Linked DNA regions of Arabidopsis thaliana. Each later gene encodes a partner of the first gene's protein in a complex. Each region holds a gene or a part of one and is shown on either strand. Other genes may lie near its edges.

What was found.
Region 2: SWN (region 1) and MSI1 share a complex: the UniProt entries of both Arabidopsis thaliana proteins name them as parts of the plant homeodomain / polycomb repressive complex.
Region 3: SWN (region 1) and FIE share a complex: the UniProt entries of both Arabidopsis thaliana proteins name them as parts of the plant homeodomain / polycomb repressive complex.

Annotation. Positions count from the first base shown.
Region 1 is NC_003075.7:883,047-892,487, reverse strand, and holds SWN (SET domain-containing protein), read right to left. Parts: upstream 5,909-9,441; 5' UTR 5,796-5,908; coding exon 5,760-5,795; intron 5,509-5,759; coding exon 5,389-5,508; intron 5,289-5,388; coding exon 5,023-5,288; intron 4,883-5,022; coding exon 4,724-4,882; intron 4,471-4,723; coding exon 4,386-4,470; intron 4,283-4,385; coding exon 4,139-4,282; intron 4,051-4,138; coding exon 4,003-4,050; intron 3,919-4,002; coding exon 3,847-3,918; intron 3,604-3,846; coding exon 2,999-3,603; intron 2,910-2,998; coding exon 2,762-2,909; intron 2,441-2,761; coding exon 2,220-2,440; intron 2,149-2,219; coding exon 2,017-2,148; intron 1,924-2,016; coding exon 1,836-1,923; intron 1,746-1,835; coding exon 1,698-1,745; intron 1,619-1,697; coding exon 1,490-1,618; coding exon of another isoform or gene 1,411-1,489; coding exon 1,333-1,410; coding exon of another isoform or gene 1,282-1,332; exon of another isoform or gene 937-1,281; coding exon 745-936; 3' UTR 501-744; downstream 1-500. Other genes in the region: AT4G02030 (Vps51/Vps67 family (components of vesicular transport) protein), read right to left, coding at 56-226; AT4G02010 (Protein kinase superfamily protein), read right to left, coding at 7,266-7,646, 7,750-7,897, 7,980-8,223, 8,345-8,716, 9,078-9,290. UniProt on the Arabidopsis thaliana protein: Polycomb group (PcG) protein. Catalytic subunit of some PcG multiprotein complex, which methylates 'Lys-27' of histone H3, leading to transcriptional repression of the affected target genes, mainly abscisic acid (ABA) responsive elements.
Region 2 is NC_003076.8:23,553,387-23,559,905, reverse strand, and holds MSI1 (Transducin/WD40 repeat-like superfamily protein), read right to left. Parts: upstream 3,895-6,519; 5' UTR 3,795-3,894; coding exon 3,450-3,794; intron 3,347-3,449; coding exon 3,020-3,346; intron 2,855-3,019; coding exon 2,702-2,854; intron 2,565-2,701; coding exon 2,440-2,564; intron 2,328-2,439; coding exon 2,232-2,327; intron 2,141-2,231; coding exon 1,912-2,140; 3' UTR 1,661-1,911; downstream 1-1,660. Other genes in the region: EMB3143 (YCF54), read right to left, coding at 1-59, 139-348; FHIT (FRAGILE HISTIDINE TRIAD), read left to right, coding at 593-652, 735-849, 1,016-1,164, 1,267-1,365, 1,438-1,557; TTL (transthyretin-like protein), read left to right, coding at 4,045-4,326, 4,407-4,508, 4,594-4,750, 4,927-5,360; AT5G58210 (hydroxyproline-rich glycoprotein family protein), read right to left, coding at 5,861-5,984, 6,151-6,422, 6,515-6,519. UniProt on the Arabidopsis thaliana protein: Core histone-binding subunit that may target chromatin assembly factors, chromatin remodeling factors and histone deacetylases to their histone substrates in a manner that is regulated by nucleosomal DNA.
Region 3 is NC_003074.8:7,247,149-7,255,030, reverse strand, and holds FIE (Transducin/WD40 repeat-like superfamily protein), read left to right. Parts: upstream 1-2,578; 5' UTR 2,579-2,776; coding exon 2,777-2,953; intron 2,954-3,796; exon of another isoform or gene 3,797-3,984; coding exon 3,985-4,050; intron 4,051-4,149; coding exon 4,150-4,272; intron 4,273-4,359; coding exon 4,360-4,440; intron 4,441-4,532; coding exon 4,533-4,625; intron 4,626-4,719; coding exon 4,720-4,795; intron 4,796-4,901; coding exon 4,902-4,981; intron 4,982-5,073; coding exon 5,074-5,145; intron 5,146-5,230; coding exon 5,231-5,290; intron 5,291-5,375; coding exon 5,376-5,472; intron 5,473-5,574; coding exon 5,575-5,638; intron 5,639-5,720; coding exon 5,721-5,780; intron 5,781-5,906; coding exon 5,907-5,967; 3' UTR 5,968-6,152; downstream 6,153-7,882. Other genes in the region: GATA29 (GATA transcription factor 29), read right to left, coding at 1-15; AT3G20730 (PPR superfamily protein), read right to left, coding at 6,153-7,222, 7,312-7,882. UniProt on the Arabidopsis thaliana protein: Polycomb group (PcG) protein. PcG proteins act by forming multiprotein complexes, which are required to maintain the transcriptionally repressive state of homeotic genes throughout development.

The DNA of each region.
Region 1 (9,441 bases):
TATTGACGCTTGTGTTGACGATTCACGAATATTCTGACAAGAAACGAAGACTAACCATGAGATCCATGTACTGATCAGCATCAAAGGAAGTGCTGTTGATGTTATCGAAAGAGGCGTTGATGGAGGAACCACTCGTCGAGATTGAAGGATCCGGTGCGTAGAAGCTCGACAATAGATCTCTCATTCTCTTCGCCTTTTCGTCCATCGGAGCTGCCTCCGTCGCCATTTTTCTAAACTCCTGCTTCTTCTCGACGACGAAAATATCTGTTACCGGAAGCAGAATTTTGGCGTCGGAGATTCGTAATGTGAATTGAAAAAGCAAGAAGAAACTGGATCCGACTAATCAACTGGGAAACGGATCCGTATCCGATTCGAACCGGAATACGGTTTAGCAGTCGGATTACTTTTTATGAGATTAGGCACTGGTTTAGTGTGATTGGTTCGTTCACTTATTTTAAATCAGTTTTATTCGTTGAAAAGTACATAGATTGGCTTTAGCTGTTCAAAAATCCATAAATTTGAAACTATTTTTCGAAATGATACATTTTTACTTATTGACCCCAATAATTCATAAATTGTTTTATCACCTATACAAAGTCCAAACTCGATGTCAAAATAAAATAAAATCTCAACTCTATAATAATTAATTAATAAAGACAAGCTTAAGTTATCAAACTTCAAATATCATCTCTCACAACTCTATAAGTTATTTTTATAAAAGTTACTTCTCTTAGCCAGTAATCATCAATGAGATTGGTGCTTTCTGGCTCTACGATGAGTAATGGCTGAATCATCTTTCTTGGAGCCTTCAGGTTTGCGAGCCCACACTGGTGCTTGGTCTGGTCCATATCTATAGTCATAGAAAAGCTCTTCGCTAGCTTCTATTCGTTCGTTTGCAAAAATCCCGACCCTGTGATCTCCTGCTACAAACATCACCTACACCACACAGAAAAAGACACCGTACTTATGCGGGAAGCGATGAGACCATGGTTACTACGACAATAGACTGAAAATCGCTCTTTTTTGTAAATAATTAACACCTTTCGAAAAGGGTTGAATAAATCTAGCAGATGATATACACATGTTACTTTACACATTACAATCATAAAGATTGTAGAAACAAGTGTGTTTTGATCATAACCTACAAAGCTAGATTTGATCATCTGTTTTCTATAGTGCTAATTGCGATTAGTTTCTACAAAATGTTATAATCCTAGTCCTCCTTCTAAATGGAACTTTTGAGTGGCTAGAGGTGAGAAAGAAGGTATAATTACTAACCGATCATGTGGTTTTTTCATACCAAAATGGATATGAGAGAGAAGCATTTAGTACCTTAGCGTAGCAATTGGGTTTAGCTGAGTGATTGGCAAATTTCAGCTTGTCACCTTTGCGTTGAGCATCGAGGACGTACTGCAAATATCAAAAGCTTACTGACATATGCGAAATTCAAGAGGAAACTATCAGAAAGAAGGGTGAGAGATTTGGTCACCTGATCATTCAAGTCAAAGAGGAAGGACGAATTTGCCCGGTCATATATTTTCCCACGCTTATCCGCCTCATGGTGTGAGATCAATTCACCGGTGTATTCTCCAAGGTATTCATTTTTGCTGACCGAGTTCTGATGATCAGATGAGGTTCAGATTACATACAAGAGGTATGAAACAGAAGTTAATGAGGAAGATATTCACATGCTTTACCTTTAGAAAAGCACCCCATCCAGCAACATCAGACTTTCCCAATAGGATCTGGTAAATATAGCACATGAGAAACTAGATTTATCAACAATGAATGCATTTTATTTTTAGTAAATACATGATTTGATGACAGTATTATACCCTCTGTTGTTGCCTCAGGAGAAGTCTCATGTTTCCGCATTGCCCTTCTCCGCGTCTTGGTGCTTCACCGAGAGAACCATCTCCACAACTGAGTGAATAAGCAAGGCATCTTAAGTTACTCATCAAATAGTAGATTTGATTGTATATGGCACATCAAGAGATCTAGATTTAAAATGACTACCTAACCCAGCAATTTCTGCAAACATCTGGATCACATTCTCTGCCAGCAGCAAAGCAGGGACACTGCCTACTTCTGCATTGACTCTTTGCACAATGACATCCTCGGAAACGATTTTTACAGCTTTTTGAGCACCTGAATTAAATCAATGGATGGTTATAAGAAGATCCTCTGTTACTTCAATTGACGTTAATTTGTTTGCATACCCGCAATATTTCTCGCAGCAAGTTTCATTAGTTAGACAAGGGCAATCCTTTCCGCACATTGACAGGCATCCACACGGCGTGTATTGTTTACAGGACTGGTTTTTGCCACCAGCTATTCTTTTCCAGACAGACGGATGACCAGCAGACTTTGTAGAGTATTTTAGCTTCCGGGTTTTGCCTTTTCTACGGAACAATCTTGTCCTTGGAGGCACCTCATCATTCTGTCAAGTAAAGTAAGAGAGCGGTAAACCAAAATATGATTCTGACAGACATGGCATGCTAATATCAATAAAATCTCAAATAAAATAATCACTTGTCTAAGCCAACTTATGGTCAACTATCGTTTTCTCTTGTCCAATGCAGGTATCAGGGAAAAATTAAGCAAGGAAATTGGCTTTTCCGGATCAGAACTTTTTTCTTCTGGAATAGATCTCTAACCCTATCAGTCTGACAAGCTAACTTTCAATACAACAATGCCCAAAGTCGCAGATACTGCAGAAAATTTGAAAAGACAAAAGACCCTAGGAAGATCAAGAGCTTACATCATTCCCTGGGTCAGTCCTGCCATCATCCAACAGCAAATTTGGGGTACTAGATCTTCGAAAAACTGAAACTTCGTTTTCACGCATGTAATTGGACACATCTAGGCATGTCTTCAAGCCAGAAAGCAGGTTTCTTGCAATAAGACAGCTGAGATAGCACGGACAAAACATACTAGATGTAAATACGTTATAGGTGTTCTGTGTTTAAAGATAATAATTTACCAAGATCCAGTTTACCTGTTTCTTCCAAAGATTTCGACTCCCTTCAAGTAAAGATCCTTCTCGATAGGATTCCACTCTGTAGATGGTCGACTTGTCTCAGACATTTCTGCAATGATTATTGCTCCGTTTCCACTACCATGGTGTGGCTGACAAATTGAGGAACCACCATCATGGACCGAATTGTCTGGAATAGGCTCACCTACTTCTTTTGCATCAGCTTCTGAGTCTCTGTTTACTTTATTGTCAGTTGTTCCACCTTGATCACCCTTTGTGCTATCCAATGCCTGATCTAAGCTAGGGACAGAATTAACAAATGACATTTTTGTATCTGAGGCTGCGGTCTTCTGTTTCTTGTTCGATAAATTAGGCAGATCATTGGAGTCTTTTAGAATTGGGACCTCACGCTTTCCTCTAATTCCATGCTCTTGTTCTACACCAGAGGATGAATCTACATTCTTGATACCAATATCAGTCTTCTCAACTTGCAGACTGACACCACTAGCAGCAGCATGGGGAACATCAGAGGAGACAGCCTTGCTGCATTCCTCTTCTGAAGCTTTCTCTTCTGCTTTAGATGCAAAATTACTGCATGTTTCTGGTACTTCTCTGACCGCCTTGAGCTAAAATCATTAACATAAGAATAATGGTGATTCAAACTCTGGAACCAAGAAAAATTACTGCATAAACAAGACTATGCACTAGTACAACTACAATGAAAGATCACTCCTCTAGCAAACGCATACATGCTAAACCTCAATCTAGGTCAGAGCATATATTCCATGATCTCACTAATGAATATAGTTTATTAACTACGAATATACAAATCACTCTGAGAATGTAAAGAGACAGAGAGAGAGATAGACCTGGAGGTAACAATGTTTGCTGCAGGGTTTCCTATCACCTTCATAATCAGACCAATAAGGCTGTTTTTCACTCTGTCAACCAAAGTTCTCTTGTTATGTTGTCCACTGAAACTTTAGCAATACAACTAAAGAAAGTAAAGACAAATTCAAGCTTACAGCACTAATCAAAGGCTGAGAACATCCATGCAGACGACAGTCAAATACCTGTTAGAAATAACCAAAGAAGGATTAACATGATTAACAAACACTTAATAATACATGCTCTCTCTGTCACAAAGAACAATCCAAGTACCAAGCAACGGCGGCAGAAAAGATTATCAAAAGAATCTAGAGCTGCACCAAGGCCCTTTTCCAGAGATATTCCCAGCTTGAATCCGGAATTAGAAAATTCCTCGGTATTCTGCTTATCCTTCAACTTGAGCTCATTGTATCTTTCCTGCAGCAGACAGGAAAGCCAAACATCATTAGTGAAGAAGAATAGGAAGACCAGAAAAACATCATTAGATAAACCACAAGAACAAGATGACTAAAAACTGCACCAGGATATCAGAAGCATCTACGCTTAGCAACTGGCAAAGGGCATCCTGCACTTCCTCACCCATGCCATACTCCTGCCCAATTAACCTGCCAATTCAAGTCAAACGAGGTATGAAGAAATTCATATATAGTGAGATATATTTCAAACCTAATGCTAATGAAGAGTCTTACAGAATGAAATTTGATATGAATACGAAATATGACATCTTTTTTTAGCATCAACAAATGTGATTCATTGGTTAATAAATTCCACCCAGGTACTTCTTCAAATACCAGTATCACAATTTTTCCCCATCAGAGTACATGAGAGTCCATAATTTACACTCTCTGCAAAACTAACCATATAATGGAATCTTCACCCTCGGAAAATTCACGTTTTTCCTCCTCAGGTTCTGGTTCTTCCTCACTATCGCTGCATATTAGCGTCTCACCACCATGTTGTTCATAGTAGATTTGTCTTCGACCAACCACAGACTGATCTTCAGCCATTCTTTGATTTCTGCATGGTTAAGATATTTTTTCAGAAAAGAAAAACAACACATAATATGAAAACTGAATTTGATGTTCTAGTCTATTGTTCAACTGAATTTAGAATAGCATGCTACCAACGCAAAAATGAGAACTAGAAAAGGTGCATGCCTGTCCAAAAATATCCAGGTAGTGTATGGCGGTATTCTCTCAGCAATAGGAAGCTTGACACTTGCTGATATAACATCCTTAGTAGGAACATAGTCTCTATCTCCCACACCATGAGAAAAACCATTTAACTTGCAGAGTGGCATTCTCATTCTCGAAGAAAGCATATTGCTATTTCCATTATCCTCTGCGGTAGCTCGGCTCGATGCAGCAGATGAAAAGGGAGAAACATGAGCATCCACTTTCTTTCTATTAGCCTCAAATTTCTCCTACATTCCCAGGAAAACAATCAAAAACGGATAAATGATTTCAAATTTTTTAGACATTAGTATAATTAGTAAAGAACATCAAGTATAGAAACTCTCTTACTTTAATAGACCTAACTCTTTCTCCTTGAATTTTCCTTTTAAGCTCACTTAATCTGTTTTCCAAACCCTCGAGTCTATCTTCTTCTTCTTCACCATCATCATCATCATCTACATGAGACTTCTATTCAGAAGCCCAAATCAAAACAAAAATCGTGTAAAAAACAAAAGCAACGAGGAAAAACACTAATTCTATAAGGTCCATCAACTCCAACAGTGAACAAAAGTAAGAGAGCGATTATAATTTGATGAACTCAAACGGATTTCACGAACAATCAGCTGAAAAAACGCGAATGATCATGCGCATACGAGCAAAATCAGATAATAAATCAAAAAAAAAAAAAAAAGAGGAGATTGAAAGGTAAATCTGAGTACGATTCGTCCAGAGGAGTTGCTATCGTCCGTCACCATTGATGACTCCTCGAGCTTTCCGCTTCTCTTCCGCTCGAACTTTCTCTCTCTCTCTGCTTTTTCCGCAATCAGACTTGTGAGAAGGACGAACGGAGTGTGGACTGGAAGGGGGGTTACATTACATACAAAGAACGCCACACGTGTGAATGAATAGTGCTTATACGTGTGTAATTTAATTAGTGGTTTTGCGACAATTATTTTCTATTTGTGATTATAATTGTATGTTATCTTAAAGATAACTATTACGACATGCCTGGCTCTGGAGCCGTTGAGGCTAATAATGGCTAATATTATTAACGTCAAAGTCTCTAGAGCCACACAGGTTATAGCAGTTACGTTTGAGATAAGTATTAGTTGTAAAGTAATAAACTCTGAACGTAAAAATATTAAGATATTTGTGATTATAATTGTATTTTATCTTAAAGGTAACTACTATGATTTGTGTGGCTTTAGAAACTTTGACGTTAACAATACTAGCCATTGAGGCTAAGAATATTAGCTGTAAAGTAAAAATCTCTGAGCGTAAAGATTTAAACTGTAAAGATTTTTTTTTTTTAACATATGTATGCTTCTTATAAACTTGTAAAGGGAGATACAAATATCTTTCTAACCATAATGGTGGTACAGAGAATTAATTAACTGAGCCTTTTTAGATAAGATGTCCGCAGCTGCATTTCTTTCCCAATTAACATGTGCTAAGGAAGAGAACGGAAGCTTCACCATCCAATAACGAATATCATAAAGAAGAGTGATGATCTTATTATGATCACTCTGCGTATTGATCAGATTTACTAGCTCTGCATTATCGCTCTCAAACCACACATAAGTACATAATGTAGTCCTCGGGACCAAGTCACTTGAAGGGCATGAAGAAATCCGAGAGCCTCTGCTTGAAGAGATAATTGTGACGATTGAAGTTGAGCACGCCCTGAACTAAGGAAACATCCATTGCAATCTCTGTAAATCCATCCTGAATGTATGACAGTCCTTTCCTGAACATAACCACTATCAAAAATAATAATAATAAAAACTGTGATTTTAACTAATAAGAAAGGAATTACTTTAAATATTGGTTTGATACCATAAAAATTATATTTAAAATATTAGTTTTTCAACAGATTATATTTTATTTAGATTATTCCATAAAAAAAAAGTATTATACTGTTACTTTTAGCTGTAAAAACTTTTACTGTAAAAAGCCTTTAAAAATTAACAGTACAAACTAATCACCTGTACATAGTTTTTTTATATTGGAAAAAGTATATTCAAATTCTATTTGTATATCTGATGGTTGTGGCAAATATTAATTAATTAACGCAAAAATATATACAAAATTCTATCCTCCAATAAAGGAGAATCCAAAATCCAAAGAGCTGTAATAATGTCCCAAACTCAAAAGCTTCTCTGGTGGAAATTTTCTCACCGTAAGTGGGAGAAAAACAAATAAAAAGAAGAAAACCCTGGCTTCTATCATCGGCCTTCGTGAAGATCTTCTGAGAAAACAGTTGTTCGTGTAATATTTTCATGATCAAAAGCGCTTAGACCAGAATAAGGACCAGAAGAGAACATAGAAGAGGTTACTTCTGACTCGAACGTAGCTGATGATTGTCTCCGGTTAGGACGAGCTTTATTTGAAGTGTTTAAAACCGGGTCTTGATACTCAACCACCCGTTGAACCATTTTAAGTGACTGAACCACTTCGCCCATCGTTGGTCTCTGGCTAGCTTCAGGTGCAACACAAGCTGCAGCGATTGTGCATACTCTTATGAAATCTTCTTTCGGGTATTTTCCTTCAAGTCTTGAATCGACTAGTTCTTCTAACCGGTCTTTGTCTCTTAAAACTGGCCTTGTCTGCATCCAGAATCAAATTTTTACATTCGAGACTTCAAAAGCTTAAGTTTTCGACAATGAAAGTGCAGGAAGATCTAGGAGATGACAAGAACTTTCTACTTACCCAAGTGACGAGATTTTCTTGGCCTGAAGGTTGTGACATATCCACAGGTTTTCTACCAGTTAACAATTCGAGAAGGACCACACCGTAACTATAAACATCACTCTTGACGAGTAGGTGTCCCGTCATTGCATATTCAGGCGCAACATATCTGAAAACAGATCGCGGATTCAATAGGCAACTCAGAATTTAAGGTTGTATATGAAAACTGTCGAGAGATATGAGCAACTCACCCAAATGTGCCCATAACACGAGTAGATAAGTGATTACCCCTGCCTTCAGGAGCTTGTTTGGCTAGGCCAAAATCTGCAACTTTGGCGTTGAAGTTGTTTTCAAGGAGTATATTAGAGGCTTTAAAATCTCTGTGTATAACGGAGGGTTGCGAGTCTTCATGAAGGTATGCAAGTCCTCTTGCAGCATCAAGTGCAATCTTCATTCTGGTGTCCCAATCAAGAGGACAGTTCAACCCGAGAGGCCCTGAAGCATAAACAATGACTTAAATAAACCACTCTTGTAGATGAACTCAGTGTACAATAACTACTTTTGACAATGTCAGATCTAAAAATAGGCAGCAAGGGAAGCAAAGAGGAGATATTACCATGGAGCCAAGCCTCGAGGCTGCCATTTGGAACAAGCTCATAACAAAGTAGGTGCTGAGAAGAATCTCGACTACTATAGTAACCCACAAGTTTCACAAGATTACGATGATGAAGACGGCTAAGCATATCAATCTCCACCTGGAATTCTTTATCACCTTGTGGCCCACCACTTGTGAGCTTCTTAATCGCTACAGCAGTACCATCGGCTAAGATGCCTCTGTAAACCTTGCCAAACCCACCTTCTCCTAGAATGCTAGCAGATTCAAAATTGCTAGTTGCCTCTTTGAGTTCTTCATATGACAGAAACCGTGTACTTGCTGGGTGAGGAAGAGATCCCCCAAATGAACCAGCGTCCAGGTTCCTTGGTTTTACTGAAAGAAAGGAATATGCGATCAAGTTTTTACTAAGAACAAGAACTAAAAGTTAATTGCCAGGATTTAGGAAAGTAACATAAATCACACTGGTAAGTGGACAGCAATCATTCATCATCTATGTATCCCCATTTTTCTCAATCCTTTTGTTTGATTCCTAAGGTCTGTTGGCTTTTTACATAAGGTCTGTTGACAACTAACAACACAACTTTAAACCCAATATAAAAGTTGACATTATCCCAACATCTATGCTAACTTCCCAATGTGCTGCTCACATGATGTGTACCTTTTGACATGATTCACGTATTCCTAACTGAGATCGGCCTATAATTTAAACCTTGTAATCAGAAGAGGTACATACCAGCTTCTTTGTGAGGATCTGGAGCTTTCTCTTCTCGGAGTGCGCGGGAACAAATAACAAGTACAGTGATTATGGCAAGTATAAGCACACCAGCGGCTATAGAAAAGATAAGAATAAGATTGGGATGCCTCTTTTTCCCTGGAGATCTTACTGACGTAGTTGCTGAGGATCCTTGTGATGGTGCTTTATGAGGTGAAGAAGCCACTAGAGGTGCTGCAAACATATTAAGACCTATCTTAGTGCAAATGCAAGGAATCATGGTGATATACTCCAAAAAGCATCAAACTGGGAGATGCTTTTTTAACATAAAAAACTATATCAGTCTACTTTCTTTCGGCTATGCTATCTTGAATGTGATGAAACT
Region 2 (6,519 bases), on another chromosome or scaffold:
TCTTCGTCAAGCATGAATTTAGCGTTTGCTACCAGGAAATGGTACTTGGTGCTCTCTCCCTGCAATCATCCAGAAAACGTAAGCTGTTTGGTTTGATTGGTCAAGAGGAAAAGAGAGAGAGAGAAAGAAAAGAGAAACCTTGTTAACAGAAGACTGTTGCTCGATGGAGGTAGCTGCGGTTTTGAAAGAGGAGGAGAAATGTGATGATGGTAGAGACAGAGAAGGCGAAGAGAGATGGAGTTTCTTTGTCTGCTTGGGAAAGGAAGAGGAGATGAGAAAGGGTTTCGTACGGCAAGCGGCGGCGGTAGGCGGCACCGCCACAGTCAATGCTCCGGTGACGCTCCACATTTGCTGCTGATTAGAGTCTGTTGATCGAGGCAGAATCTGTAAAAATCTTATCTTTTTTGCCGGGGGTCATCCATTATTATCATCACTCTCTCTCTCCCTTTCTCAACTCAATTTTTAATTGATTTTAATGTTATTTGGGCTTCAGTAATGGCCCAATAAGGTGTTATGGGTTTCTTCAAGCCCGTAAGAAAGAAAAGGGAAAGGCGTTAACTGTGACTTTCATGGCGACGGAGGCGGAGCTGAGATGCTGAACCTGCAAGTAACCGGGAAGACGATCTTATCTAGTATTCGTTGTCAGAGAAAGGTAAGTTCCTTATACGATCCAACATTTTGTCTCTACTTTACAAGTTAGAAGGATTGATTTTTGAGTGTTTTGATTGCTGCAGATGTCGTCTACTTGTTCTTCGTACGCATTTGGGCCGTACAAAATCGATCCCCGTGAAGTGTTCTACGCAACGCCTCTCTCTTATGCCATGGTTAATCTCCGTCCGCTTCTTCCTGGTATGCCTCATTCCTCTCTAATTATTCATCGAACCTCTTCAACTTTCTTCTGACCTTCTTTTTCATCTATTTTTTGCAGGTCATATCCTTCTTTTTTTTGTGTGTTCTTCATTTTTCGGTTTTGTTTTGTAAATTGAGTTCTATTGGATGACTTTAACCAGACGAGCACATGTTCTTGTCTGCCCGAGACGCCTTGTGCCACGATTTACTGATCTTACAGCTGATGAGACCAGTGACCTGTGGCTTACTGCTCAGAAGGTTGGCTCTAAGCTTGAGACCTTCCATAATGCGTCTTCTCTCACATTAGCCATCCAAGTAAACTAAACATCTCCTTTCTTTCGTCATTGTTTCTTGCGTCTAAATCTTAATGGATTGGAATTGAAACGATCTAACTTTGGTTTCATGAAAATGGCTTAGGATGGCCCTCAAGCGGGACAGACTGTTCCCCATGTACACATTCATATCTTGCCTCGTAAAGGTGGTGACTTTGAGAAGAATGATGAAATCTATGATGCTGTAAGTTGTTGCATTTTGATCACATTCCTAGCTTTGGTTTTATACAAATCTTATGGTGGTATCTTCTTGTAGCTTGATGAGAAGGAGAAGGAACTGAAGCAGAAGCTTGATCTAGATAAAGACCGGGTTGATAGGAGCATTCAGGAGATGGCTGACGAGGCTTCCCAATACAGATCTCTTTTCGATTGCTAGTTATCATTTATCAATATCAAATCAAACCAAGCTATCCAGTAGCTTTAATAAGGACCATTGTGACAAGTGACTTTCAGTTTGAAATTTTATGTCAGAGACTTTGATTCAAATTTGTAATTTCTTTCTAATGTCGCCCAATCTGGGTATAAACTAAGAGTTATAGCTTTGGTTGACACTACTTAGTGAGATTAGAATCAACTCCTTCATGTTATAAAGAAAAATTCCCACTTGCTACCATCCTCTCATGCCTCATTTTACACAATGAACACTAAATACTTGAACTAAACAATAGCAGAGATGTATAAATAAATACTGTCCCATAAGATCAGTGCGCTTTGGATACTAAATAACAAGCTAAGAAGCTTTTGATGGTTCTTCCCCTGGAGCGTCATCCTCATCATGATAGATGTTTTCAGCCATTTGCCATATTTGGAGTATGTTGTCCTCAGCAACACTGGAAATAACCCAATCTTCACAAGGGTTCCACGAGAAATCTGAAATTTTGCTAGTGTGACCACCGTGAATAAACAGCAGCTCAGGTGGGCCGTCTTCTGCGTCCTCCACTGTCTGTTCCTCATCGATCCTATCATAAGACACCCTCAAACATATCAATATTGCTCCTCCATGACCATACATGAACATTAAACTAAAGAACTAAAGTCTACGGCCCAAACCTGCTAAGGTCCCAAACCATAAGTCTTCTACCAAGGCAACATGAAGCTAAAATAGTCTCGTTCTTTGGGTTCCAACCAACTTGAAAAACCTCCTCTCTGGAGATCAAGCACATAATTAAGGTTAGTGATGTTGCTGTAACTTGTAAATACTTCTTAGTAACACAAAATCCATCTCAAAGCGGCAATATTTATGGCGTATCATTCTTACTTGTGGCTATCAAATGTGTGAAGAGCGGTGCTTAGCTTCCGTAGATCGAATAATTTAACAGTCTTGTCAGTTGATCCTGTTGCCACAACCCACTCATTAAATGGATTGAAGGCTAAGCAGTTAACCTAAGGCATTTCAAACAACTCAACAATTAGCAAATACATACGAGGCAATATGATTCAATGGTTTTTAGTGTTAAGGAAAGCAAGCTTAAAAACCAGAAGTATTATCTGTATCTAAAGCTAATATATTGCAAACTCACCTCCATCGAATGAGCAACCACAGACTGTACTGGTTTACTGGCAGATGGAGAACGCAGATCCCATATGAGAAGGTATTGGTCATCTCCAACTGATCCAAACAGGTACTCATGTCTCAGATGCCATGCAACATCTTCCACAACCCCTTCATGAGCCTTAAGTTCAGAAAATAATCATCAGCAAGGAAAACACAGAAACCAACCTGAATATCTATCTATGAGCTTTCATAAGTGTAACTGATTCCGTTAAGTGGGTGCAATTCCTTCCTTTCTAGATGATACAAAACAAAACTAAAAACGAATAGAAATCCAAAGCATTACCTTAAAAATCTGCTGAGCGTCCAGAGATTTGTTTTTAGGAGTAGCGTTAATATCCCACAAGCAGATCTGAGCATCATCAGAGCCACTAAGCAAATGACCCTGCTTGAACTTACTCCAAGAGAGACCATATCCCTCAGAGCTGTGACCTCTAAGCTTTAAATCAGGATTACAAGCCCCATCAAGAGGAGGCTTAGATGGATGCTTACTGTAATCGAAAACATAGACCTCCGCATTAACTGTCTTGGTAGCAATTATGAAAGGGTTTTGAGGCATATAGCGAGCTCGATTAACCTCACCATCATGATTTATCTGCTGGATAATTTGTACCTACACAAGCAATCAAACTAACATTTATCATCCTTTACCTCGTTATAACCCTAGAATCAAATCTAGAAAGTTGGAAATGAGAAACAAAAATAAAAAATCGCACCTTTCCAGTTGCACAGCCAAAGCCACCAAATTCAGAGCGGTCATCATCGTACTGACGAGCTTCACTCTCGGTATCGTCAAGAGGAAGCTGAACTTGGGCTAGCATCAAGTAATTGGGCTCGCTCTCGGAGGTATGGGTACCGAGAATCATCTTCTGAACGGAGTAGTCTTTACCGGAAGGTTCTTCACGGTCAGGAAGCCATTCAACAGTAAGTGAAGGCCACTCGAGAGCGTGAGTAATAACGAGATCGTAGAGGAAAGGAGTGTTCTTCTTCCAGATCTTGTACTCTTCATTGATTAGTCGCTCCTCGATCTCACCTCGCATTTCCTCTTCGTCTTTCCCCATATCGGCGATGTCTTTGTTATTCCCGCCACAAGAACAAGGCAAAACCCTAAAACAGATCTCTTTACAAATTGTAAGAAACTTCTCGCTTCTGTTTCTGAATAATTCACATATAGAAGATGATGAATAAAAAAAGGAAGAAGATAAAGAAAAGGCCCATTTTTGAAAAGCCCGTTTATGAAAAGGCCCAATTAGATGACTTTTGATCTTACACCAGTCAACAGAAGTGAGGATTGGAGAAAAGAGAGAAAAAATGGCGATGGAGATCGGAGAAGATGAATGGAAGGTTTGCTGTGGAAGCTCCGAATTCGCGAAGCAGATGTCTACGTCTGGACCGTTAACTTCTCAAGAAGCAATATATACTGCAAGAGACATCTGGTTCAACCAAGTTAATGTGACAGATTGGCTTGAAGCTTTCTCTGCTCATCCTCAGATTGGGAATACTCCTTCACCTTCTATCAACTCCGATTTTGCTCGTCGGAGCGTATCAGAACAGTCAACCGCCTTTGCCACAACTTCTGCTTCTGCTTTACAGGTGATGGATCTTCACTTTTTTTTTCCTTCATCTCTTCAGTGATTTCTTCTTCTGATGATCAATTGTTTTCAATTTCTTAGGAGCTTGCCGAATGGAATGTACTTTACAAAAAGAAGTTTGGCTTTATCTTCATTATTTGCGCTTCTGGCAGGACTCACGCTGAGATGCTCCATGCGTTAAAGGTCAACTTTTGCATTTCCAAATCAGTTTTTGTTGAGTGTGAGTGAATGAGAAAGTTACATATTCATCAAATCGTCTCTTTTTCAGGAAAGGTATGAAAATAGGCCAATAGTGGAGCTTGAGATTGCTGCTATGGAACAAATGAAAATAACAGAGCTACGAATGGCAAAGCTGTTCTCCGATAAGGCTAAAGTTATATCAGAAACTGACAGCTCTAGCTCTCCTGTTTCAACAAAACCTCAAGGTATATTGATGATTTACCAAATCTTTTCCTTGTCAAAGTTTTGTGTTTGACTGTGTGGGTTTGAACCTGTTAGGATTCAGTATGATATCAAGTATGTGTCTTTTGGAATACAAGGATTTACCCTTATGGCTATCTTTGTTATCTGTGTGACCTTTTCTACTTTCTCGCTTTGTAAGATCGTCTGAGAATCATTGGAGGGCATTTGAATGTTGCAGCTGAAGCAAAAGCTCCCAAGAGAAGTAGGCCACCGATCACGACTCATGTCTTAGACGTCTCACGTGGTGCTCCAGCTGCAGGTGTTGAAGTGCACTTAGAAGTGTGGAGTGGTACTACCGGTCCTTCCTTTGTTCATGGAGGTGGTGGGGTCTGGTCCAGTGTGGGCACATCAGCTACTGATAGAGATGGGCGCAGTGGGCCACTGATGGATTTGGTTGACGCTTTGAATCCAGGGACATATAGGATTAGCTTCGACACTGCAAAGTATTCCCCAGGCTGCTTCTTTCCCTATGTTTCCATTGTATTTCAGGTTACAGAATCACAGAAATGGGAGCATTTCCATGTCCCACTGTTGCTTGCACCTTTTTCTTTCTCCACATACCGTGGGAGCTAGAGCTATGCTACTGCTGTCTGCGGCACCAACTTTCCAACACATTTTGTTTTGGTTGTACCACTACGGGAACATGTATCAAAATTGCTATGAAATGAAGTCTTTATTCGACATGTATAAAAATTGCTATGAAATAATGTCTATTCGAGTATTTATTTGGATTTGTAGTTCTGTAGAACAAACAATGAATTAGCGAAAATACGAGCTTTGATCTAGACTCATTGTGAGTAGGACAACGATAGTATAGATTACCATGTTAAACATCTTGGGAGATTCTATACCTTTGTACAAAATGGTCGATCACAAAACAAGCCTCTAAAACTGTTGTGTGTTTTAATCTAGACTCATAGCCAGCAGGACAATAATAGTCTAGATTAAGACATCTTGGTCGATTCCAAACCTTTGCGCAAAATGTCAAAACAAAACAGCTTCTACTGGTATACTTTACACACCTCTACCTACCCTTCCTGAGCGTGTCTAAAGCTCCCTGGCTATATCTACCCTCATCTCCAAAAGTTCGCAAATTCTTTCGCAAATGACATTATGTTGCTCCACGAACTTGACCTTTCTTTCACCTCACCAGTTTCCGTCTCTTTCACCTCACCGGCTCCTGTCTCTGAAATTTGTCTGTAAAAACAAAAGATATAAGAATTCAAACTGAAGTGGTGCCAATATGATCAACTTGAATGACTTTTTCTATTACTCAAAAACAAGAGATCCATCAATGAAGTAAATTATCCTAATATAAGGATCGGACCAGTAAAGAAGAGACCTAGTTGTATGCATTTGATACCTGGTCTCAGTAGGCACAACATCTGCTGAAACATCAGCTCCTTCAAGATGGTCTGCTTTTGACTCTTGATTGCCTAAGTGCGTCAAGTTCCTCTCTTCATCAGTCTCCGAGTTTTCTATTCCCTGAGTTGCCTCTGTTTCTCTTTTGTCATCTTTTGCAGTAATGACAAGGTTGTTGCCCTGGAAATTACTTTCATCATCAGAATTAGAGTGAGAAGTATCTATTATATCCGGCCTCTGCTCACTTCCTATCTCAATATCCACACTGCCAGCCTGTGAAACAGAAACAAGGATAACTAAGCCAATTGATAACTGAAGCCTAAGGAAATTAAACTGATCACACCAAAGCAAGATTTTTTCTTTACTTGAA
Region 3 (7,882 bases), on another chromosome or scaffold:
CAGTTCCGGCTCCATTTTTCACTATAGAAAAGTTCAAGAAAATCAATTAAAACAACTTGATATAAAAGTTTAGACAGTAGTTTTATGAATACAATTTACAAAAACATTTTTCGAGAATCACATATAGAAAAACAAGGTTCCTATAAACAACAAACAAAAAATATGAGTAGGGCATGACTATTTGAGTTTCTAAAAAAAAAAAACACTTACAGAGATTAAGCAAATCGATCAACAAAAGTTTTAGTTTTTATTTTTTCAGATCTGAAGCAGCTAATCGATCCACTAATCTTGTGGAGATCGTGTGTTGCTTTGGTGCATATATATACAAATAGACAAATACATATGCGTTTACATATATATGTAAGCACGTATTTAGAGAGCAACAATAAGGCATGAGAAATGTGATTATCGTCAAATCATGATTGCTACATGACAAATCGATCTTAATTTTGAAAAAGAGACATTTAAATATTCAAAAAACGGTAAAAATTTCTTTAAGACCAACCATGGAAATAACATGAGAAGACTGAGAGGGAGATTAGAACTTACAACAAGAGAATCTTTTTCCTTCAATATTTTTTTTAAACACTTTTCTTTTGTAGGGAATTTGATAATATGAAATGGATAGATTTTACTGCTTAATTTTTAATCATTTTTTATCAGAAACTTTTTCGTTTTAAATCTACGGCTAGAATTTTCGGTCGGTTTTATACTTTATATAGATGCTAGATTTTTTTCTTCTAGTCATCGTTTATTAGTACAATTTTGTTTTTATATATTGATTACTTGAATTTATAATAGGATTGGTACAAAGGTGGTAATTATAAAGTGCATTTTTTTGGATATTGTTCAATTCAAATATTTTTACTTAGATTCTCAAACTATTGAAAAATATCCAAAATATCCGGAAAATTTCAATTTAATCGAATAAAAAAATTAGAATGGAAAGAATAAAAAATTATCGGGTACAATTAGAAGAGTAATGTGTTTAGTTTGGTTTTTACTCGGATACCAGTTCAGTTTTCACGTATTATTCGATCCTATAGGAGCAATTGTGAATTAGTTGTGAGATTTTGGGAGCATTCGCTTCCAGAACTTAGTGCTAGGAGAAATGCTATTTTCCTATAAGAGTTGTACGAGGAAGCGAGCAAGTACACAACAACCACAAAAGCTTTCAATACTTGTTTACTCCTAGGGTTTAAAACTAGAGGTTCTATAGATCTCTAAATTTTTTTGAACAAATGTGTTTTCCACACGTGATATTCTACAATACCACTCGAAAATTATCCATAATTGCTTTAAACTATTTTTTTGTTTAAATTATATAATTTGTACCGTTGTAAACTGATTATTTCAAATTATAATTAAAGCACTATAATTTCATATATTACATTCAACATATATTAAAATAAACTATAACCATGTATTTTTTTGTCTTCCTTTCCTATAAACATTGATTGGACTCTATCGTAAATTTTGTCGTTATCGCAAATTTTGTCGTTATCGATGAGTTTCTCAAAGTTTGGACCTTGATTATCTTGTTTGGAGATGTTCAAATCGTTATATCCAAATAGTGAACTTCTAATTTTCTTTTTTGATAATGTGACTTATTTGGAAAAGTATTCCAAAGTATTCAAATAAACCCTTTAAAAATCCATTAAATACATTTTAAATAAGTAAAATGCTCTCAACGAAGAGATATCATGGTAAATAACAACAGTGAGAGGATAAAATGTTAAATCAATTTATTTACAACTTCAAATAGGCGGACATCAAACCTACTTAGCACACTTTCTATTTTCAAATTGGTTATGGTTTGTCTATTAGTTGTTGCATCTATGTTTTTTAATTCTTATATCGGTGATCTTGATTTTGTTTTGGTGTATCTAAAATCTATTTTAGTTAAAGTGCAAGAAAATAAAATAAAAACTTAAGGTAAGAGATGAAAGTAAGCTTTAAATAAAACAGAGCACTTCTATGGTCGATTATAGAGCCAAGTTCGTTCCTCCATTTTGGCTTAATGCAATATTACAAGTAAATCTTATAAAACTTTCCATAAGTATCGTATTACCCATGGATACTATGATATATAAACTCTCGGAGGTGTAGTCCAGAAGAAATGATCCATATTTGCATACAGTAAACTTGATGGAAAAAATATGTGGTACTGTTGGAATTGTAGCTATTGAGTATCAAATTTGAGAAAAAGGTAAAAAAATATGTAAAATTTGGGTGGAAGAAAAGAATTACATAAAATTGAGAAATGTATGTAATTGACAAAATAATGTTTTCAAAACATAAAAACGTGATACCATTTAAATCCAAACCTTATATCATTTAACCATTTTTAGTAAAACTAATAGTAATGAATGGTCAATAATATAAGATTACATATTAAATAATTACTACTTTCAGAAAATTTCAATCAAATCTATAATATTCCTTTGAAAAAAAAGAAAGACAAATAGGTAAACTTCGATCGTATCAATCAAAGAATATATTTATTTTTCATCGTAACGTTTAATTCTAAGTCCTATTAAAAAACGTTAAATTTGATTTTTCTTACCATTTTTTTCTAAAAGGTGAGTTGTGTGTTGTGTCAGGTCCAAAATAAAAGTTTGTCGTGAGGTCAAAATCTACGGTTACAGTAATTTTAATAACCTGTGAATCTGTGTCTAATCGAAAATTACAAAACACCAGTTGTTGTTGCATGAGAGACTTGTGAGCTTAGATTAGTGTGCGAGAGTCAGACAGAGAGAGAGATTTCGAATATCGAATGTCGAAGATAACCTTAGGGAACGAGTCAATAGTTGGGTCTTTGACTCCATCGAATAAGAAATCGTACAAAGTGACGAATAGGATTCAGGAAGGGAAGAAACCTTTGTATGCTGTTGTTTTCAACTTCCTTGATGCTCGTTTCTTCGATGTCTTCGTTACCGCTGGTGGAAATCGGGTAAAAGATCTCGACTTTCAATTCGAAATCACTGTTTTCAATTCTGGGTCTGTTTAGGTTTTGATTCAGATTGATTGTAACATTAAGGCCTTTCCTTTTGTGTTTGATTTTGGATTCTGATTTCTAGCCTTTAGTGAGATTAAAAGATTGAAACTTTGCTTGATGCTATAGTCTAAGATTATGTAACATTTAGTTCAAACTTTCTGGTTTTGGAGATTTTGTGGAAGATATGGTTTTTGTTTTCTAATTTAAAGTGAACTCATTACCTTATACACTTGATTTGCATTCTGTTCTAAAAAAAATTGAAACTTTGGTTGATGTTGTTAGTCTGCTTATCTAAGGAGGTTCCTTTTGAAACGGTCATCAAGTGAGTTATGAAGCGTTTAGTTTAAGCTTTCCTGTATTGGAGATTTTGTGGAAGTTATTTTTTTTTCTAATTTTGAAACTAGATAGAGTGAAGTCATTACCTTATACATTAGACTGCTCTATTTTGTTTTCAATGTGGGTTCCGAATGTACCTGATAGTGGCTCTTTAGGCTCATTTGTATTCGTCGAAACATCGATCGGATACCCGTTTGGGCTTAGTAGGCTCTGATACCGCGTAAAGTTCTCGGGTTCCATGAAAAACCAATCGGTAATGAGTGGAGTTAATTTGTAATCGTCTTCGGTCGAGCATTTGGGATTAGTGGGCTTTGATACCATGTGAAAGTCCTTGGGGTCCAATCGGCAATGAGTAGAGTTAACTTGTAATCTTACACACTTGGTTAGGTCTCATTCTCTTTATAATGTTGTGTGCCTAACAGTTTCCGCACTAAGGTTGTTTGGTTGCTCAGTCTCAATATACTTATCTTAACTAGTTGTAGTTTTTTTCATCTTTCCTAGTTTCCGTTGGATTTTAAATTGAATGATTTACTAGTTAGAAATATTTGAGTTTCTCATAGAAGCTTTAACCAAGGGGTTCTTTCATTTAACCTTTACTTAGCTAGTTCATGAATCTCATTACTGCCATTGGTGTATCTCTTATTATGTAGATTACTCTGTACAATTGTCTCGGAGATGGTGCCATATCAGCATTGCAATCCTATGCTGATGAAGATGTAAGGAAGCATACATATTAGCTTTTCCATCAAATTAAAGTAAGTGATGTTTCACTGAGGCCATTTGGTTATATTTTGTCTATGTCCTCTGGAGAGCAGAAGGAAGAGTCGTTTTACACGGTAAGTTGGGCGTGTGGCGTTAATGGGAACCCATATGTTGCGGCTGGAGGAGTAAAAGGTATAATCCGAGTCATTGACGTCAACAGTGAAACGATTCATAAGGTATTATTGCATTTTTATGGATGTTCTATGTATCCTAGCAAATGATTCTATATCTTTCTTGTATAATCTGTGCTCGCAAATGTGCAGAGTCTTGTGGGTCATGGAGATTCAGTGAACGAAATCAGGACACAACCTTTAAAACCTCAACTTGTGATTACTGCTAGCAAGGTATATCTCTTGGCTTTCTTTTCTTCCTAAAGTATCCTGACTTCTTTTTTATTTGTTGGTGATTAAGAGCTGTTACGTTTTAATTGAATAAGGATGAATCTGTTCGTTTGTGGAATGTTGAAACTGGGATATGTATTTTGATATTTGCTGGAGCTGGAGGTCATCGCTATGAAGTTCTAAGTGTGGTGAGCCAATATTGTTTTATCTAATTCAGTTAGTTTTCTACAATAATATATAGAGACAATGTTAAGGGGAACCATCTTATTTTGAAAATTGTAGGATTTTCATCCGTCTGATATTTACCGCTTTGCTAGTTGTGGTATGGACACCACTATTAAAATATGGTCAATGAAAGGTACGATCGAGCACATATTGTAATAAACTTCCATTTTAAAAAACCTTTTGAGAAAAATGGCTTGTGGTTCGTTTGTATGATCTTCTTATTCTTTGGCTGTCTATAGAGTTTTGGACGTACGTCGAGAAGTCATTCACATGGACTGATGATCCATCAAAATTCCCCACAAAATTTGTCCAATTCCCTGTAAGTATTTTGTTTTAGCCTTGTCTTGTAACAACAAGTGACATACAAATATTGGTGATGGCCTTTGTAAATAACATTACTTCTATATGTAGGTATTTACAGCTTCCATTCATACAAATTATGTAGATTGTAACCGTTGGTTTGGTGATTTTATCCTCTCAAAGGTTAGTAAGTCAATGATGGTTAAGATTAATTCATTTGGTGTACTGTTAAAACACTTTACTCTTGTGTTGTTCTATCGGATTTTAGAGTGTGGACAACGAGATCCTGTTGTGGGAACCACAACTGAAAGAGAATTCTCCTGGCGAGGTTAGGATCTCATTGTTGCTCCAAACACAACATAATCATTCATTTCATCACATATATTTACAGTTGAACTTTTTGTGGTTTGCAGGGAGCTTCAGATGTTCTATTAAGATACCCGGTTCCAATGTGTGATATTTGGTTTATCAAGTTTTCTTGTGACCTCCATTTAAGTTCTGTTGCGATAGGTAATCAGAGAGCTCGTTAGATACAAATTTGCATTCTATAGATAGATTACTTCAACTTTTCTTATTCATTTTGTGACAAATTACTCGCTGGTTTGTTATCAGGTAATCAGGAAGGAAAGGTTTATGTCTGGGATTTGAAAAGTTGCCCTCCTGTTTTGATTACAAAGTAAGTTAGTTTCGGATTCAGATACAATGTTTGATCTTTAAGAAATGTTTTAGTCTTGACATGATTTTCTGTTGCCATATAGGTTATCACACAATCAATCAAAGTCTGTAATCAGGCAAACAGCCATGTCTGTCGATGGAAGGTATAAATCCATCTTCTCTCTCACCAATGCAGTGAAAATTTCTTAATGTTATTTATGACTCAATAGTTACTGTAAATCAAACCAAACTTTGGATTCTGACACACTGTTTCTTCCATGGGATTGTAGCACGATTCTTGCTTGCTGCGAGGACGGGACTATATGGCGCTGGGACGTGATTACCAAGTAGCGGTCTGAGTCTTGTAGGAATTGATGAATTAGGAGTGCGAAGAAATGAGATATCCATTCTTTTATTGTAATTCTGATCATGTTGCTACTCCCTGAGACCTTGAGATGCTCTTTGTAGCCTTGTTAACGTCCACCCTTGTACCACAGTGTATACCCTTTCTGGAGATTTTGTCTTATTCTCTTAGTTCAATACACAAGGCTGTATCCTGGAGCTTTATTGCAGGAACCACTCTCTTTCATAAGCTTTCTAGTATTCAAAGCATTGTCCCATGCTCCATTAGCTGCATACACACTGGCCAAATTGATGTAATTGACTGGTTTCCTCGGTTCCATACTCAGAAGCTGCGTGGCTGCTACTTTACTGAGCTGCACATTCCCATGGCGCCTGCATGCATCAAGAAAAGCTCCCCATGTTGATGAGCTAAGACTTACAATACCCTCTTTACTTCTTATCAGTGCATAAGCTTCTTCCAAGTAGCCACTGCGCGCAAGCATATCTATGATGCAAGATAAGTGCTCTTCTCGAGCTTCGATTCCGTGCTTGTTGATCATTGTGTCGTAAATCTTCCAGCCTAGTTCGGTTTGTCCTGTATGACTACAAGCAGAGAGGAGAGAAAGAAATGTAACGTCATTCGGTTTGATCCTTTCATGCTCCATTCTGTTATAAAGATCAATTGCTTTCTCAAAATTCCCATGTCTTCCATATCCTGCAATCAAAGAGGTCCATGATCTCACATCTTTCTCTTTCATCTCTTCGAAAGCCAGGACTGCATCCTCGATTTCCCCAGACTTTGCATACATATCTATCAGCGAATTCCCCAAAGCAACATCGAATCTGATTTGGGAAGATTTTAAGGCAAAACCATGGATCTGTCTTCCAATGGTTACAGATGCAATGGTGGTGCATATTTTAAGCATCGAGGATACTACAACTTCGTCCATCTTTGTTTTCATCCGTATCATATCTTTGAAGATATCAAAGGCATCACTTGTGCAGTTGTTCTGCTGTGAAAAACCTGTAATTAGAGCAGTGCAAGATAGTAAGTCTCTTTTCTTTGTGCCCTCGTGCAGTTTCCAAGCATTGGCAAGGCTACCACACTTCACATATGCATTAACCAGAGACCTAATTAGTGCACTTGATCTCCCAAAACCCAGCTTGATCGCTAATCCATGTAATTCACTGACTATTTCAAGACACTTAACGACAATAGAAGCTCTCAAGAGGCTTCCAAAGGTGAAGCAGTCTGGCTTCTTCCCTAACACATAACAACACAAGAAGCTATATAACCAAACTGAGTCACATAAGTTTTGAAATATGTACGAAGAATTGAATTAAGTAGTTCACCTTCCGTGAGCATCAACTGAAACAGACTAAACGAAGTATCTGCACAAGCATTGGCGGTGTATCCATCGATCATAGCATTCCAAGAAACCAAATCCCTTTCTTTCATTGAATCAAACTGAAGACGAGCTTCCTCCATCTTTCCACACCTGGCATAAAGAGAAAGCAATGCACTTCTCACAATTAAGTTCCCTGCACAATTCCCTTTCTCCACACTACCATGTATCTGCATCCCTTCTTTCAGACACCCCAAATCTTTACACGACTTCAAAACACTCCCATAAGTGAACTGATTAGCCTTAACATCTTCCCGGTGCATCTCTTTAAACAACAACAACGCGTCCGGGTGATATCCACATCGAGAAAACCTCGAGATCATAGCTGTCCAAGAAACCACATCTCTCTTAGAAATTCTATCGAACAGTTTACGTGCATGTTTCACATCTCCCTGTTTTAAGTACAAATCTATCAACATGTCCTTCAACTGGAGATTGGAGCAGAACCCATTTGTAATCGAATTCCCATGGATCAACAATAGTTGTTTCTTGACGTTTTGGTAGCTGCATAATTTAAG